Linked DNA regions of Saccharomyces cerevisiae S288C. The protein of the gene in region 2 binds, or shares a complex with, the protein of the main gene of each other region. Each region holds a gene or a part of one and is shown on either strand. Other genes may lie near its edges. A codon is read from its position in the direction of its gene.

The links.
Region 1: the proteins of DAD3 (region 2) and DAD1 are in contact, whole or in part, in a cryo-EM structure (PDB 8Q84), measured with the Saccharomyces cerevisiae proteins. Residues at the interface, in NP_631876.1 of Saccharomyces cerevisiae: His3 (codon at 2,327), Asn4 (codon at 2,324), Leu5 (codon at 2,321), Gln9 (codon at 2,309), Leu13 (codon at 2,297), Tyr16 (codon at 2,288), Lys17 (codon at 2,285), Ser20 (codon at 2,276), Leu23 (codon at 2,267), Leu26 (codon at 2,258), Asp27 (codon at 2,255), Ile30 (codon at 2,246), Leu33 (codon at 2,237), Asn34 (codon at 2,234), Val48 (codon at 2,192), Glu52 (codon at 2,180), Ile53 (codon at 2,177), Leu54 (codon at 2,174), Met57 (codon at 2,165), Arg58 (codon at 2,162), Ile60 (codon at 2,156), Glu61 (codon at 2,153), Ile64 (codon at 2,144), Val67 (codon at 2,135), Gly68 (codon at 2,132), Lys72 (codon at 2,120); in NP_010299.3 of Saccharomyces cerevisiae: Thr16 (codon at 1,722), Tyr19 (codon at 1,713), Phe20 (codon at 1,710), Gln23 (codon at 1,701), Arg24 (codon at 1,698), Val27 (codon at 1,689), Leu28 (codon at 1,686), Glu30 (codon at 1,680), Ile31 (codon at 1,677), Thr34 (codon at 1,668), Met35 (codon at 1,665), Ser37 (codon at 1,659), Ile38 (codon at 1,656), Gly41 (codon at 1,647), Leu42 (codon at 1,644), Gly44 (codon at 1,638), Leu45 (codon at 1,635), Ser48 (codon at 1,626), Leu49 (codon at 1,623), Ser51 (codon at 1,617), Ser52 (codon at 1,614), Val55 (codon at 1,605), Phe59 (codon at 1,593), Val62 (codon at 1,584), Leu65 (codon at 1,575), Trp66 (codon at 1,572).
Region 3: the proteins of DAD3 (region 2) and DUO1 are in contact, whole or in part, in a cryo-EM structure (PDB 8Q84), measured with the Saccharomyces cerevisiae proteins. Residues at the interface, in NP_631876.1 of Saccharomyces cerevisiae: Leu8 (codon at 2,312), Glu11 (codon at 2,303), Val12 (codon at 2,300), Lys15 (codon at 2,291), Tyr16 (codon at 2,288), Gln18 (codon at 2,282), Leu19 (codon at 2,279), Asp22 (codon at 2,270), Leu23 (codon at 2,267), Ala25 (codon at 2,261), Leu26 (codon at 2,258), Thr29 (codon at 2,249), Ile30 (codon at 2,246), Leu33 (codon at 2,237), Gln45 (codon at 2,201), Glu46 (codon at 2,198), Val48 (codon at 2,192), Asp51 (codon at 2,183), Glu52 (codon at 2,180), Glu56 (codon at 2,168), Met57 (codon at 2,165), Asp59 (codon at 2,159), Ile60 (codon at 2,156), Lys63 (codon at 2,147), Ile64 (codon at 2,144), Leu66 (codon at 2,138), Val67 (codon at 2,135); in NP_011454.1 of Saccharomyces cerevisiae: Leu64 (codon at 2,394), Glu67 (codon at 2,385), Ser68 (codon at 2,382), Leu71 (codon at 2,373), Asp72 (codon at 2,370), Ile74 (codon at 2,364), Thr75 (codon at 2,361), Ile78 (codon at 2,352), Lys79 (codon at 2,349), Val81 (codon at 2,343), Thr82 (codon at 2,340), Leu85 (codon at 2,331), Lys86 (codon at 2,328), Leu89 (codon at 2,319), Val93 (codon at 2,307), Asn94 (codon at 2,304), Val96 (codon at 2,298), His97 (codon at 2,295), Cys100 (codon at 2,286), Thr103 (codon at 2,277), Asn104 (codon at 2,274), Leu107 (codon at 2,265), Asp108 (codon at 2,262), Trp110 (codon at 2,256), Ile111 (codon at 2,253).

Annotation. Positions count from the first base shown.
Region 1 is NC_001136.10:476,992-482,739, forward strand, and holds DAD1 (Dad1p), read right to left. Parts: upstream 1,768-5,748; coding exon 1,483-1,767; downstream 1-1,482. Other genes in the region: HED1 (Hed1p), read left to right, coding at 806-1,294; inositol polyphosphate kinase KCS1, read right to left, coding at 2,124-5,276; MLG1 (putative acyltransferase), read right to left, coding at 5,679-5,748. UniProt on the Saccharomyces cerevisiae protein: Component of the DASH complex that connects microtubules with kinetochores and couples microtubule depolymerisation to chromosome movement; it is involved in retrieving kinetochores to the spindle poles before their re-orientation on the spindle in early mitosis and allows microtubule depolymerization to pull chromosomes apart and resist detachment during anaphase.
Region 2 is NC_001134.8:681,428-687,309, reverse strand, and holds DAD3 (Dad3p), read right to left. Parts: upstream 2,334-5,882; coding exon 2,049-2,333; downstream 1-2,048. Other genes in the region: VHC1 (Vhc1p), read right to left, coding at 1-409; ARC40 (Arc40p), read left to right, coding at 718-1,872; telomere maintenance protein PBP2, read right to left, coding at 2,641-3,882; SWC5 (Swc5p), read left to right, coding at 4,220-5,131.
Region 3 is NC_001139.9:387,129-393,135, forward strand, and holds DUO1 (Duo1p), read right to left. Parts: upstream 2,584-6,007; coding exon 1,840-2,583; downstream 1-1,839. Other genes in the region: PYC1 (pyruvate carboxylase 1), read left to right, coding at 1-1,604; YBP2 (Ybp2p), read left to right, coding at 2,937-4,862; protein kinase PKP2, read left to right, coding at 5,095-6,007. UniProt on the Saccharomyces cerevisiae protein: Component of the DASH complex that connects microtubules with kinetochores and couples microtubule depolymerisation to chromosome movement; it is involved in retrieving kinetochores to the spindle poles before their re-orientation on the spindle in early mitosis and allows microtubule depolymerization to pull chromosomes apart and resist detachment during anaphase.

The DNA.
Region 1 (5,748 bases), on a different chromosome or scaffold from region 2:
TTTATCTTATTTGGTCTTCCGTACACAAATAGTAGTGAATGTATGGTAAACATGCATGCGATGACTTAACTAAGGATTTACTGGTGTTGGATCAAATTTAATCTCTGCATGTATAGGCTATTCAATAATCATGAGGCGTTAAAGGATAGTTTACTTATCATTTTTCCTTCTTGAAGCATTTTCCCAGAGCTGATAGATATATTGAAGTAGTACTTATATACCTTTCAACTGATGCATGTGAATGCCTGCTTGGAACATCGGGAATAAGAATTATAGTAACAATACCAATTTCTCCAGCGGATTTGTCTATTTTCTTGGTACTTCATGCAAGGTGCATCCTTTTTCTCTTGAAATTCATTCTGAATGGCCATAACTGCCAATGTTCACCATTCCTAAAGACGACGTGTTTATCACTCCTAGTTGCTTGGAAGTTAGACAACATGAGGAATAATAACCTCAAGAGATTAAAAAATGCAAGTAACTATATTACATATTTATTATGCACACTTTGCCTTGCCACTTGTGTAATAGACCTGGGTTCTTGCCGAGGTGATATGCTCTTTAATAAAAGATCACCTCAATTCAAGACTAAAAATGGCGAGGTATAAATCTGCGTCGCTAACATGTACAATATTTTAATGTATACTCTCGCATATTTATATTTTCGTTTTTCACGGCTTTAATTAGCGTACGTGGTTTCTGATTTTTGCTTGAGTAATGCACTATTTATTAAGATAGCCGCCCAGGTTAAATTCTTGAATTACAACTACATGTCAGAGACGAACGAAAGAGAGAAATCAAGACGATGCAACAAAGATCAAATAGGAGAAGCTGCTCCTATATACCACTCGGGGTACATAATAATGCCGAAAAGAGCTTGTGCACCGAAGTTGCTCCAGCAAGAAAGAACAAAAGGTCTATTACGACTTCTCCCATAGTCAACATCAACGTTGTAGAAAGAAGACTGTTTAATTTGGAATTGGAAAAACAACAACTTCGTGCCAAAAATCTGTCTGAGAACACAGGTGGCGGAAGCCCCAATGGGGGTGCTTATCTGGACGCCAAAAAAGGAGTAAGAGAACAAGATCAATACCAAGGAGGTCCCTCGAAAGAGCTTGACAGGCTACAACCACCACCTTCAATGAAGAAAAGCCCTCCAAGGAAGAAGAAGAGCCTAAAGGACTTGATATATGAAACGAACAAGACATTCTATCAGGTGGATTCTAACAAGGTTAAATATAAGGTAGGTCTATCCAAGAAACAGCTATTACCATCCAAAACGGTAGACAACTAAGTTCAAAGAGGAGAACGTTTGAAAAAGAGTTCGGTGGCCCTCCACTTTTTTCAACGTGCAAAAGTTGTCCACAACTTACTTATCATTAGGCTAAAATTACAATTTATATCTTACGTATCCTTTATCTAATTTGCGACTGTAAACATAAATTTAGGATAATATTAGGAGAGACAGAGGGAACCGCAACTTTACTTCGTTTTCGATTGAGATAAAGTAGGTTGCTCGTCGATGGGCGCTTCGTCTGATAAACTTTCCAACCCATCATAAAGTGTTTTCCACAAATCAGAAACTGACTGGAATTCTCTTCCCACAGCTATCGAGCTCTCCAATGATATATTGAGACCATTCAGACCATTCAAGATTGAATTCATAGTCTCATTGATCTCCTGCAATACTATATTCCTCTGCTCGATGAAGTATTTGTCAGTGGTTGATATCAACTTTTCTTCATCATTGGATGTACTAGCCATCATATGTACATATATCCTCACACGTCCGAGCTCTTCATCAGTCCTATTCCTACGCTAATTACTACCTCCTCTTGTTAAAGGTGACTGTTTATTCCCTTTGTTATTTTCGCGGCCTTGACTTTTACCCGGAGGTGGCCCTTTCCGCTCAATGGTTCTAGTGATCGCCTATAACCGTGTAGTCATATTCATACACGTACAAATTCGTTTGTCTTTTCATATATATAGTTATATATGCTATGCTCGTTTGTGTATTTATTGGATTATGCAATCAAAATAATGATAGTTACGAATAGATAAATGCATTTACGGACTGAAATAAGCGCAGCTAAAAGAATATTCATTAGTTCTATCCTTTCTTTTCAATCACTAACTTGAGCATCGTCATTGTATCTTGGTTCAGCGTCGAAAATAAGCTCGTATTTTCTCCATTTTTGTCTTAGTTTACTATTTGGATCATTATACATTTCTTCGTCTTCTTTGTCAAATTCATCTAACCAATCCCACTTACTGTTGAAGTTGATTTTCGAACCGGTGGCGGAGGTGAAACTATTCGAATCTGCTTCTTCGCTAATCATATCATTCATCTCTACTTCATCGAAAATTAACGGCATATCAGAAGTCAGATAATTCCAGATTAATAACAGATAAAACCTCAAGCTCTTCACACCTCGTAAGAACCCTTTATCTTCTATATTTGGCGATTTTGGGGGTATACGAAATTTATCCATACATTCCATTGCATCTTCTTTAGTAACACAACGTGCAAAATCGATCAAGTTGACTTTAACATTAGCAGCTTTTTTCCTTTTAGAATTTGATTTATTAGCATCTCCATCGTACATTAGTAATAAAGACGCGCCATATAGCCTGTAACCTTTCAAATTAAAAATTTCAGAATACAAAGTATCTAGTTGCTTGATCAACCTTGGAATTTGCCTGATTAAACTTTCAATGGTCTTACCATCATACAAAAAACGTGCAAGTACCCTAGCAAATTGCCAACCAACCTTAACCCTTCTACCAAAGTATTTATCTCTTGTGATATAATAATCTTTGTTCCAAACCTTTAATCCGCAGATTCTAACGCCTAAACGCCTAGAAGTGGTCTTTAAACACTTTGCACGCTGTGACAGTTGCTTGGCTCTTTTGGCGTCTACGCCATATTGTCTTGTCCCCATCTTTAGATCCAGTGCACAAGGCTTGTTCATGTTTCTTGTCAAATCTTCCAATAAGATAAATTTTGAAACAATGGTGTGGGACGTCTCCTCAAACGTAATTGATTCAATATCATGATGACTATAGTCATTTGAAACATTATACGCCAATGACTTTATAATCATGTTTTTACCAGAGTCAAGATGGCAGCCGTGGTTATCCATATTTATAGTTTCGTTTCCCGTATCTTCATCCATATCAAAAACACCATCTTGTGCGTTGCTGATATAATTCGGGGAGGTGGCAAATTCGCCATCATCTCTAGAATTGGTTGCAGTGAGAATGGGTGATAAAGAGTTGCAGAAAGAGTTTTTATGTTTTATTTGTTCGTTTTTGTGGAATTGCTTCAAATCCATTACTGAATGCGAGCCATCTAAAGCATTAGATATTTTTTCATGAAGCGATTTTTTCAAGAAAGGATCCTGCAAATTCGGATTGACTTTCGAGTCATCCATCTGTAAACTCGCTTGTGACGATGAATCACCAAGAGTCTTCATAGACGTATTCGATGCATCATGGGACGAGGCTCTTGATTTTTGTGTTAAAAAAGATGGACTGGAACCCAAACGCGCATTATGGTTTCCCATTGTAGTCGTATTAGAGTTTCTTTTCCTTCTAAAACATTTCGGTGCAAATACTTCCCTTATGACTAGGTTCTTCAATTCAGTATTGATCATGGTGGACCCAGAATCGCGTCTTTTTAATTTATTTGTATTGCCACGCTCACCGAACGAACATGAGTTATGAGAAGAGGAGGACGAAAAGTACGAATCATTCGGTGCCGAGTTTGGAGAATCGGAATATTTGTACCACAGAGATTCCGGTATAATATGCCTGTTATCATTTAATACAACCTCGGGCAACAAGGAAGGTTGGTTGGAACTTGACAGTGATCTTTTCACGTGTGGATGGACAGACTCAATTTCAGGATGCTCTTTTTCAAGTACTTGTCTCGACGAATGTTCCAAGGGGAAGGAATGTATGTGTGTTAAGGGGGTCCCCGTGGGTTCTGTATTAAGCGCAATATCGTCGTTATTGTTATGATTGACTTCTATGTCTTTGTTTTCATTACTGGTATCATTTTTACCGTTGTTTTCTTGATCCAAATCGCTTAAAAAGTCATCTTTTGACTGAAAATGTTGCCTAACATTCAGGACACCAATATAACGTGGCATGAATTGCAATAATTCTTTATGGCACAGCTCTATATTCTCATACCACCTGTTTTCTCTATTCACTAGAGCCTTACAAACCGCTCTCTTCGAAAATCTGAATATTGCAGTGTGACCTCCAACTCTATTCGTAAATGGTTTTAGTTCAACTGCTAGGGGATATTCCCTATGTTCATTATCACCTTCATCCTCTTCTTCGTCCGCTTGCTCGCCTTCTTTATCTTGTTCAAACGTATTGGGTTTTTCTTTAATTGATTCGCTATGTGGCACAAACTGTTGAGGTTTTTTTTCGTTACTACGATTGTTGACGTTTTCTTGCCTTAGGGATTGTGATAAAGTTGAATATGTCTTAACTTTGAAAGTATGTCGGTTATATGAACTAGGAAGTGTCGCTATACCAGAGGCACAATTTATGGTGGCAGGCTGAATAGTATCAATATCATTTTCCATTTTATCCTTTTCTTCATAACCAGAATCTGCTTTACTTTTGTGAGGATAGTATGTTGCAGAAGAAACAGGCTTTAACGTTAAGTCCTCCGATATTCCATGTAAGCTCTCCTGATAAGTGGACTTAGGCGAAATACATCCCTCATCAACATTCTGAATTGGCTTTAAAGAAGTCTGGTGGTGTAACACCTGTGGTTGGTGTGATTGTTGTTTTGCGATATCCTCACCAGAGCCTTGACCTGTCTCAGTAATATTATTTCTATGCGCCACGTGTTTATTGGGCTTAATTGCCGGCTCCTCGTGGTTAGATAAAATGAAACTTGACAATGAAGAGGACAAAGTATCTGGGTTATTCTTTTTTTCAGAAACTTGTAGTCCTTCTGGTACCGATTTGGGAGTTGCTTCTGACCTTGTTATTTTGTCCGCGCATGTCACGGACCCGCCATTATTGCTATCTACACCATTGTTGTTATCGGCTAAACATTCATCATCTCTAAAAATTCTTAAATATGTACTCGCCTTTCTGCCATGTAAGACGGAGGAAAGTTTCTTCGTCTCAGGTACATTAAGATCTTTCAATGTTGTTATGCACCCTTCCGACTCTTTTTGGCGCAAATGCTGCTGCTGCTCTCTTAATGTATCGGGTATTTTATCATGAATTTCGTGAGAGGTATCCATAGTCTTTTAGCTTTAGTTTTATATATACAAAAAATAAAAAAAAGATTTGAGAAGACAGAAAGATGTACAAAATGAAAGAAAGAAGACAAAAGACAATTCTAATATAATAAGGTCAAACTGGGATTTTCCCTTTTGTTGGAGATATAATCCAACCAACAGAGACAAACAAGAACAGAAAAGTGTTTTTCGTCTTGATCCTGTATTGAAAAAAAAAAAAAAAAGCGATACGGCGCGAAGTTGAGGGGCCGGCGACACTTCTGCGATGAGTTCGAAAGAAGTGTTAATAATTTTTATGAAAGCAACTATTACTTATATATTTGTAACTTTACCGTTGTGGATGGCTAAGCTAAGTGGAAATAATATATGAAATACAGGTTTAATTATGTTTGGTTTAAGGTTAAATCAATGATTTTTTTTCATCACAAATACAAGAATAAGAAAAGCGAAGAACCCGTAATATGAAAGGATACGG
Region 2 (5,882 bases):
TTCTTGAAATCATATAATAAGCACCCCCGCCCCTAACAGTCCCGTTTGTAGATATAGCAGATATACTTAACGTGGTGAGAAGATTAATAGTGTAACTCAATAGCAGAAGACCGATGGTGCATATAATACCTAACTGACCCAAAATGAAGCCAAAACGAAGAAACATAAGGATAGACAATACGTTTAAAGCAGTAGGCACAAATACCCCATCGTATGTTCCCAACTTATCTTTGTTTGGGTTATCAGGATCATACTTAGAGGAAACTTTTTGGCATTCAGGGGTCGCCTGATAATTGAAATATGTTTGACTTATTCTCCTTGCAGACAACAGTGAAGAAGATTCATTTGAAGAAGATATTGCCGACGATGGCCGATGCGTACCTGGAATCTGATAAAACCTACTAACCATTAATCCTACAAGAAAGGCCTATTCTTAAAGAGAATTGGCTGGCAAAAACACTGTCTCTATCACTTCTTCGACAACAAGCACAACCATTTCTTAGATTTCCTTGTTACTCTTTAACAACAATGTTGATAATGAATCCTACGTTATCAGTTGCACAATTATCAAAATCTTCTTGTCACCCGCCCGCGCCTTGCCTATAATGAAAAAGGGTCAAATAAGAGCAATCTTGATCGAGAAAGCTTCCAGATTAGAAACAAAGAAAAATAGGAAAAATAAGCCGAAGTAAACGTATATTAGTTGAGAGTCTCCTAATGTCATTTTCCAATTCTAAAGACAAGTCCGTTGTTGCCGTCTACAAGCTGGTCAAAGCGCCAATCTACTCTCATTGCTTTTCTCAAGATAAATCTATTTTAGCCGTTACATGCGAAACAGATTGTCTTGTCTATAGAGTTTCAAACAACACACCTCCCGTTTTATTCGCAACGTTGAAAGATCATGATAAAACCATTACTGCTGTGGACATTTCCATACATGGTCGTATTGTGACTTGCTCCCAAGACCGTAATGCTTACGTTTGGGAGCCATTGAGTGATGGGACATACAAGCCCACGTTAGTACTTCTTCGTATTAACAGAGCAGCTACTTCAGTTACATGGGCACCAAATGGTTATAAGTTTGCTGTTGGGTCCAGTGCTAGAATCATCGCTGTTTGTTATTACGAACACGAGAATAATTGGTGGGTATCCAAGCACATCAAGAAACCCATCAAATCTACCATCAATTGCCTGTCTTGGCATGCAAATGGAGTCCTATTAGCTGCTGGTGGTACTGATGGGTTTATGCGTGTGTTCAGCGGGTTTATCAAGGGTTTGGATTCCAAGGAATCCGTCGCCGGATCACCCTGGGGCCAGAAATTCCCTTTTGGTTGTTTAATCAGGGAGTGGTATCAGGGTTCTTATATCCATGATGTGGAATGGAGAAGTCAGATGGAAAGAATTGCTTATGTAGCGCATGATGGTACTTTGAATGTTGTCGATTACCAATCTCCAGTGCAATCTGTCAATGCTCCGGAAGGTTTACCTTACAGGTCCTTAGTATGGATAAACGACCACGAGATTGTTTGTGGAGGATACTCTTGTCATCCGGTATTGTTCAGCGAAGCCTCTGAAGGCTGGAAATTTGCGAAGAATCTAGACAAATCAGACAATAACAAGTCTTCTGCCTTAACTGCATCTGGTAATACAGACGAGCTGAGTGGTAATAATGATGAAAGTTCAACTTTCGGTATTTCCGCATTGAGAAAGTTTAAAGAATTAGACTTGAAAGGTAAAGTTAGCACAGATGTCCAAGAAAGTGCACATGAAAACGCCATTGTGGAATTAAGACCTTTTGCGGAATCCAACGGCCAAATCACACAAGTCTCTTCCTGTGGGTTAGACGGTAAGATCGTCATTTATACAATTTAAATATACATACGTATATATATATATTGTTATGTGTATTCCCTACCTCATAATACACCTTGAGTTTGTATTGTTTTTTTCTTCACTTGGCATATACAGACTATATTATTACAACTCACAGCACAATGTAGTGTACCGTAAAAAATAAAGCATCAGAATCAATTTCTTGCACCAAACCATTATTTAGAATTGCTACCCAAAGACTCCTGTTCTTGCTTTCTTTGCAAGATAAGCGAGTACACGCTACCTTTTAGCAGTGTCCCAACTAAACCAATTTTGACCTCTATGTCCCTCATCTCCTGTAGTATCTCATCTGGCGATACAGTTTCTTGCTGTGAATGCTGTTGCCTGTGTTGCGAATAGTTTAGTTCTTTTATAGTTTCATCCAGAGCTTTTAGATCTAAAGAAAGCTGTTTGTATTTGTCCAATACTTCTTGCTGTAAAGGTGAAAGATTGTGTTCCATACTGTGACTACAACGCCGTGTATGTTTCACAGCGACTTTGACTGGCTACTGTAAGCTCTTCTTTTGTATTCTTTGGAATAGTTTATTTACATGTAATTACTGTAATAGCGCGCAGCCGAGCTAAAAAAAAAAAAAATACAAAGCTTTTGATCAATTTGTTACAAAGAGAAATAATTCCGCGTACGTATTTCTATTGATATTTATATATCTACATTCATTCAATTTATTACCTTTTCTTTTATTTTTTTTGCCTTTTGTAGTTTCTGTATTTTTATTTTCTATGTGTTTTTATTGACTAGCAGTATATTTAGAGGGGCGACCTTCTTTTACGTTCAGCATTTGATCTATCAATTTCAATTTTATTGCTAATCAACATAATAGCAGCTTGGGACGCCATGAACGTACCTCTTATGGTAAGTCTTCTCTCCGAAGAGCCTTCTACAGGATCTTGTATAATAATTGAACAACCTGTGGATTCCTTGACCGAATTTATGTGCTTGCCATCTTTGCCAATGACATTTCCGACAAATTTCTCATCTATGAATATCTCTTGTTGTACAAAGTTCATTAATAAATGGTTGCCGGGTGCCGGACTGATAACAGGGCCGTCTAAGACTGTCACATTAGGGATAACGAAGTTCGGTTGAAAGGCCGTTGCGTTTGCAACGCTAGCAGTAGTATACTGCGGTGTGGCCATACTCAACAAAGTAGATGATATTGGTAAATTTTTGTTGGGTTTGTATGAAAGTAGTTTATCGCTTGGATGATATTGGTGGTTTCTTTGATGGAAAATGGTGTTCGGTTGGCTATGGTCTATTAATACTGAGTTAAACTGAGTTGGCTGATAGTATATGGACCTTTTCACATTTTTCTGCGGAGATTCCATCTGAAAGTTTAGCAATGTTTGACTAATGTAGAAAGTAGCAATATGGATAGCATCCGGAACCCCGTTAATGGTTAAAATTCTATCGTTAGAAAGCAGCAATTGATTCGGGGACGCGAATAATTTTGCTGCACTCAAATCCTCAATTTCTCTTAACCGAGACCCACGTTTGCCAATTATACATCCCATAAGATGATGAGGGATCAATAGGTTGATAGAAATCTCAATGTCTTCCCCGTTATCTTCGTTACCATGTTCTTCAAGCAGCGCTCTTACTATCATGCCGTATGCCTTGGCTACATCATCGCAAGTACCCCTCACGTAAACAATTCTTTCAGGAACACCTCTGATATTATTTGATATGTTTATTCTAGCAGAGGTTTCGGATTTTATTCTAGATATAGTGGCGCCCTTGTGTCCTACTATCAGTGAAGCGTGTTTGACTAAGCACAGCATTCGTAAATGTACATCAGAGGGAACATTGTCGGGGGAATCGTGGTCGTTGTCAGAGTGGCTGTCTGCATCCTTCAGGGCCACGCGTTTGATTTCTGCTTCCAGTTGTTCCTCGCTGGTGTCTTCACCCTTTTTCCTTTTGAGCGTGTTGGGAGAAACGAGTACAGTAGTTGGTGTAGTAGTGATTGATGGTTTTGTAGTCTCTGTGGACATAATTGAGCTAAAGAGTATTACAGAAAGATTATTTAATGCCGCGCTGGACGATTAAAATTGTTAGAGTGGATGTGGCTATGGATAAGTTTGAATATGAAAAAGGTTACTTATGCGGCTAACGACTAGGTGCGTATTTATCGTTTGACGAGTATGTACGTGTTTTCTTTTGTATCATGATATTTCGTGTAAGTACCATATCGGGGAAAGACAAAAAAAAGTGAATTAAAGAGCGAAGTTTAAAGATGATGAATAGGATTAATCGACAAGTAAGAAAAAAGACGAAAAGGCGTAAACTGGAATAATATTGTTTCAAGAAAGAAAACCCACTAGCCTATAAATGCCAGAAGTAGAGACAAAGATTATACCAAACGAAAAGGAGGACGAGGACGAGGACGGCTACATAGAAGAGGAGGACGAGGACTTCCAGCCTGAAAAAGATAAATTAGGTGGTGGTAGCGACGATAGTGATGCCAGCGATGGCGGTGACGACTATGATGACGGTGTGAACAGAGATAAGGGTAGAAATAAAGTGGACTATTCGCGTATAGAGAGCGAGAGCGGCGGACTGATCAAGACTAGAAGAGCTCGGCAAGCTGAGGAAGAATATGCGAAAACACATAAGTATGAATCGTTAACTGTTGAATCGATCCCTGCAAAAGTAAACAGCATCTGGGAGGAGCTACAGGAAGCTAGTAAGAACCGTCTTTTGAGCAGTTCAGGGAAAGTCGGCTCTGTTCTCGACGGTTCCAAGGAGGCTAGGTCGACAACGGCCGCGCAACAGGAGGACAAAATCCTCATCGAAAGAAACTACAAGTTTGCTGGTGAAACTGTCCATGAGAAAAAATGGGTTTCACGCAGCAGTGCGGAGGGTCAAGAATATCTAAACAGTTTGAAATTTAAGCAGCAGGCGCCTGCTGCTCCTGTTCAACTGGAAAAAGCAGTTAGGACCAAGTCCAATGAAAGCCGGCAACACTTGCGACGGCCACTGAAAAGGCCTCCATTGTTGGAGCAGATCATTTCTGGCGGGCTACGACCCAAGCTAACGACATTAGAAAAATCTCAGCTGGACTGGGCTAGTTATGTAGACCGTGCTGGACTTAACGACGAATTGGTGCTGCACAACAAGGATGGGTTCTTGGCCCGGCAAGAATTTCTGCAGCGGGTCGGGTCTGCAGAGGACGAGAGATACAAAGAATTGCGCCGGCAACAACTTGCTCAGCAGTTGCAGCAGGATAGCGAAGCTTCATAGACAAATATTACATGTATTAAATAACATGCTTTTCTGCTCAAATTTTTTTAACCGCCGAGGCCTGCACACTTTCACTACGTGTATAACGATGCTGCAGACAAAGTAATGGGGTGTATGGGTGTGGGTGGCAAAAAAAACCTAGCAACGCTCTATGTTTCTTTTCTTTTTTCTTTCTTTTTTTTTTTTTGCCGTTTCCGATGGGCCACTCGGTGAAAACATATAAAAAGGGCTCTACATTCATTTTTTCATCGATGAGTACTTTACTTGTTATCAGATTTATTCATTTTGTTTCTACTTGTTTTTTTTTTAAATCCCCACGAATCTCTTTGCCTTTTGGCTTAGATCAAGTGTAGTATCTGTTCTTTTCAGTGTAACAACTGAAATGACCTCAATGAGGCTCATTACCTTTTAATTTGTTACAATACACATTTTTTGGCACCCAAAATAATAAAATGGACGGGAAGAGACTTTTTAAGCAAGTTGTTTTCCGCTAATGTCAGGTCTCACTACTTTTTGCTGCTATTTTTCTTCGCTCATGGTTTCTTCATAAGGCGTTTTTATGATGGTTTTTCGAAATTGGTTTTTGAGACGACGGTTGCTCAAGGTTATTGTTTTTGTTTTCTTCTGGTTGTTTTCTATTTTCTTTTTTTTAGCTTTCTGTTTCTCCCTTAGTTTGGCTTTTTGCTTCATACTCTTCCCTGTCTTTCCGAGCCGTTTATGTCCAACGCGGGATTTGGTTTTTCTTTATCGA
Region 3 (6,007 bases), on a different chromosome or scaffold from region 2:
ATTCTTCATTGCCTGACAATGCTATTGACCATTTCGTCAAGCAAGCCAAGGATAATGGTGTTGATATATTTAGAGTCTTTGATGCCTTAAATGACTTGGAACAATTGAAGGTCGGTGTAGATGCTGTGAAGAAGGCAGGTGGTGTTGTAGAAGCCACTGTTTGTTTCTCTGGGGATATGCTTCAGCCAGGCAAGAAATACAATTTGGATTACTACTTGGAAATTGCTGAAAAAATTGTCCAAATGGGCACTCATATCCTGGGTATCAAAGATATGGCAGGTACCATGAAGCCAGCAGCTGCCAAACTACTGATTGGATCTTTGAGGGCTAAGTACCCTGATCTCCCAATACATGTTCACACTCACGATTCTGCAGGTACTGCTGTTGCATCAATGACTGCGTGTGCTCTGGCGGGCGCCGATGTCGTTGATGTTGCCATCAACTCAATGTCTGGTTTAACTTCACAACCATCAATCAATGCTCTGTTGGCTTCATTAGAAGGTAATATTGACACTGGTATTAACGTTGAGCATGTCCGTGAACTAGATGCATATTGGGCAGAGATGAGATTGTTATACTCTTGTTTCGAGGCTGACTTGAAGGGCCCAGATCCAGAAGTTTATCAACATGAAATCCCAGGTGGTCAATTGACAAACTTGTTGTTTCAAGCCCAACAATTGGGTCTTGGAGAACAATGGGCCGAAACAAAAAGAGCTTACAGAGAAGCCAATTATTTATTGGGTGATATTGTCAAAGTTACCCCAACTTCGAAGGTCGTTGGTGATCTGGCACAATTTATGGTCTCCAATAAATTAACTTCCGATGATGTGAGACGCCTGGCTAATTCTTTGGATTTCCCTGACTCTGTTATGGATTTCTTCGAAGGCTTAATCGGCCAACCATATGGTGGGTTCCCAGAACCATTTAGATCAGACGTTTTAAGGAACAAGAGAAGAAAGTTGACTTGTCGTCCAGGCCTGGAACTAGAGCCATTTGATCTCGAAAAAATTAGAGAAGACTTGCAGAATAGATTTGGTGATGTTGATGAGTGCGACGTTGCTTCTTATAACATGTACCCAAGAGTTTATGAAGACTTCCAAAAGATGAGAGAAACGTATGGTGATTTATCTGTATTGCCAACAAGAAGCTTTTTGTCTCCACTAGAGACTGACGAAGAAATTGAAGTTGTAATCGAACAAGGTAAAACGCTAATTATCAAGCTACAGGCTGTGGGTGATTTGAACAAAAAGACCGGTGAAAGAGAAGTTTACTTTGATTTGAATGGTGAAATGAGAAAAATTCGTGTTGCTGACAGATCACAAAAAGTGGAAACTGTTACTAAATCCAAAGCAGACATGCATGATCCATTACACATTGGTGCACCAATGGCAGGTGTCATTGTTGAAGTTAAAGTTCATAAAGGATCACTAATAAAGAAGGGCCAACCTGTAGCCGTATTAAGCGCCATGAAAATGGAAATGATTATATCTTCTCCATCCGATGGACAAGTTAAAGAAGTGTTTGTCTCTGATGGTGAAAATGTGGACTCTTCTGATTTATTAGTTCTATTAGAAGACCAAGTTCCTGTTGAAACTAAGGCATGAACCGGTTAGTTCTCATTTATAATGTATAATATACCCGAATCTTATTTATTTACCTTTCCTATTTTTTGACGACCAGTAAATACTAATACATAATTAGGAACAAAAGTTAAATAAAAAAAAAAATAATAATTTAACGCATCCAATTAACGTGTCCTTTTTTCATCATTAATTTATCTACTATTTCGATTTAAATTCCATATACAATAAATCCTAGATACATTCCCGAAAGCATCTTTTAGCGAAACATCTTCCTTGAGCTGCTAGCAGTGGGCTTAGTCCACCTGTTAGTTACTCTTGGTATACCACTAGGTCTTTTCGAGGCAGGAACATGGGTCTTTCTTACTCTTCCGTTATTTGAAATTCCTGCCGAAGGAACGGGCCTTCTACCAGATTGCACACCGTACCTTGGATTTAAGCCTTGATTTGGTGGCTTTGCTGGTGCAGCATCCTTTTCACCCTTCCTATTTTCTAATTTTTGTCTCAAATCCAAGATCTCCTTCTTTTTCAACGCTATCACGTTGTGTAAAGTACTCCCATCTTCATCATTTGTGTTTACATTTTCATTGTGCAGTCTATCATTAATTAGCTTTAAATAGGTTTGATCGCTCATCAATTTATGAATATAACCAGCTTGAGAATGAATGTTGATCCATGAATCTAAAATGGAATTCGTAGATTTACATACCTCATGTACTTGATTAACGTATACTGGCAAGTTATTTTTTAATGCGGCCGTAACATTTTTTATCATTGCTGTTATTTTATCTAACGATTCTGATTCTTTGAGTAAGGATTGCGTTGTGATTGAATTAAACGATCTTATAGAATTGCTGTTAGCCGAAATATTATCGCTTGCTCCACCTCCTGTGCTTTTTGGAAATTTATTGGTCGTGTTATTGAGGTTAGATCTCATCTCATTGAAAATCTGTGGAATCAGTTTGTCTATAGTCGAATCATCTAATTGGCTTTGCTCACTCATATTGAAGACTTGTTCAAGTTTCAAATTATCTTCTTTAGTAATACTTGAGTCACCAGTCCAGATTACTTAGCCTATCTTTCTTTATCGCGTTTGATTTTGGCGTTTGTTTGTAATTATTATTCTTTTTTCCTTCGTTTCGCTGTGAAACTAACTTGCGCTGAGGTCCAAAAACCTCTCATCTAAGAATAAAGGAAAATACATATTATCCTGGGTCTAAAAGGCTAAAAGAACTCACCGTCAAGAGGAAGGGCTCAGAAAGTATGGGTGAGTCAATTGAAACAATTTGTAAAAGCCTTGTCAGGGCTTTCCAAGAGGAGAAGGATGATTTTGTCTCACTTGTAACAATCATTGATATGTACAACGAGCAGGTGAACTCTGGAAAGTCTATAAAAGAAAAGGAACGTTATTTGGATGCCCTATTGAAAATACTTAAGGATAATCCAGTTACCTTAAAGGAAATTGGCTGGGATCTGCCAAAGGGTTTATTGCAGTTTTTCTCACGCAAAAACATCAATGTCAATATACATCTAGTTTTTAGTCCCCTTGTTTCTAGTGTGATGGAATGCTTCAATGAGCTAGCCATCAATGGAAATCCGAAAGAATGCTTGTTGACCGCTTGCGAATTGGTGTCAACACTCCATATAGTCTTAACTGAAACTGGCGACTCCGATGAAGAGAATGAAGATTTAAATGACTCCAATAGAAATGATGCGTCAAACATTACTGATGAGCTGTCAGTTATCACTCCGGAGATTGGGCACTATATGGCCAAAAATACAGTAGAATTCATTCCAAATTTGAAAATTTACGTTCTCTTTGAATTTATGAGTTTATTGTTGAAACGTGTGGACACTTTATATCCATCTAAATTTCTAGCCATGGTAACTTCTGCAATTATTAAGTATGTAACAACCAACGTTCAGGCTATGGATGATCCACACTTTATTTTGCGCATAGTGTACAATTTTTGTACTAATTACTCTCCAGCTCAACCATCTGCTAGTCTGACCGATGGTATTAGTACAAACGATCTTGAAAAAATTCATGATGATGAATCTGCCTTACAGAAAAAACTACTGGCTAATCTGAGCGTATTCGTGATTAGCAACTGCCTAAAAAATCATCCAGGTAATATTGACAAGATATATTTCAAAACATTGATGCATAAAAAAACAGATGAAAATGAAATCGATGCTTCAGTTTTACAGATATGCCACCAATACTACGAGTATGTCACATCATTGGATGTCCACATGAAAGAACTTTTAGAAAAGTGCCTGGTAGAATCAAGAAGCATCTATAACTCTCTTCTCATGAACCCGGCCGCTTCCACGCCCGAATTCAAAGAAGAAATTAACCAACTAGTATATGAGGTATCTTACGCATATCAAATCAAGAAACTAGCTGACGAAAAGAACTTAGAGCTGGACCAATATGGAGTTGTGATTCTATCTGCAATACATTATTCTAAAAATGGTACTCACTTATTGCCGCAAATTGATATCCAAAGCGCAATTTACCTCTATCTACGGTGTACGACAGCTTCTTTATTTTCAGAAATATACGAAAATAAGTTTTTGGAAAGTTCAGTACGCTACTGGCTATGGGTATCCACAACCGAGACTTCCACAGAGAAAATAAAGTGTGCCTTACAAGAACTTCCAGGGCACATTACCACGGCCTTTTTGCAGATGTTACTGATGAAAACTTGCAATGAATCTAATAACGACACTAAGTTGACCGAAATTACTCTTCTGAGGAGGTTACTCTATCTCATGCCCGAAAGCACATCTTTTACGTTCATCTTTGAAACTCTACTACATTGTCCATATATAACTGCAAAGATTGCTGTTCTTGACATTCTAAGAGATATGATGATTAGATCTCCTGAGGCTGCTAATCGTGACGAAACTGTCGGTTTAATCGAACAACAGAATCCTGGGAATACCGCTAATAGTGTACCGATAATGCCAACTCTACCTCCAAGACCTTACATCACTATTAATGAAGATCGCATGGCTTCCATTCATAGCATTGCTTTAATATGTTTTTCTGCCGCCAAGCAAAAGAAAAGAACGCAAGGTGATTTACTCTTGGTACTAACATATATGAAATTTTTTGTTAGTTTAAGGAACAAATGGGATTTGGGTCTGTTAACACTCATCAATAAAGAAATCTCCGAATCATTTCAAGGAGAAGGTGAGCCTGAATTAGCATTCATCAACATTTCCAATAATACTCTGGGAGAATATATAGAAGAGATGAACATACGCTCGTAAACTACATAGTAAATTAGTTGCTCTTCTCTTTTGTTCCCGAGTAAATCGAATTATTCTATTAAAGGGAAACACTATGTTTTGAGTCATCCAAACTTTCATTTTTTTCAGATTTCATCGCCCGATCGTCAAGGAATAAAAAGGGAAGGGATGGGATACTTGCATTGGAACCCAGAAAGTACGTAAAAGATGAAGATCGTGAGAGATTGGTCAATGGATAAATAGTTCTGTAATTATGTCTAAGTATCAAATTAATTGCATAAGATACCGGCACTTTCTCAGGACATCTAATATCTCGCAGATCCCTGATTTCACGAAATACTGCATTGGTCCCGTAAATGAAGAATTGGCACCTTACATCATGGAAACCATGAAGGCATACCCTTCAAATTCCGAATATATCAATCCGCAGCATTACTATCATAATAGAACGGTATTAGTAGAAAATTACTTAAAACGAAGTCCAAATCCAGTATCATTAACGCAGTTAGCGCAATATTATGACGATTCTACCAAGCTGACCAGAACCAAGATCATCAATTCCGGGAAATTTGTAAAAGAAGAACTGGTAATTAGGATCGCGCATAAATTAAATCAATTGCAACAACTTCCATTTAATGTTGTGAACAACTTCCATTTTGTTCAAGTTTATGAGTCATATTACAATATTTTTGAAAGCTTTAGAAAATATCCGACTATAAGAACTTTAGAGGACGCTTCTCAATTTGCAGATTTTATCAAAAATATGCTAGAAGGCTTCAATACTCTAAACTTACCACATTTGATAATGGGGGCTTTAGAATGTACAATTTTGGATCTTTATCCTCGTGAAAAAATGGACCAACTACTATCTGATCTGTTAAGAGCTCGAATATCAAGAAGATTGATTGTAGAGGAACACGTCAGTATCACAGCCAACTACACTAGTGGTAAGGAGGAAAATACCTTGGTATTGGGTGATATTTTTCAAGAATGTAGCGCTAAAAAATATTTATTGGAAGCCAGTGAGGAATCTCAAAAATTTATCCAAGATATGTACTTTAAAGACATTCCCATGCCAGAATTTATTATCGAAGGTGACACTCAACTAAGCTTTTACTTTTTGCCTACACATTTGAAGTATTTGTTAGGGGAGATCCTTCGAAATA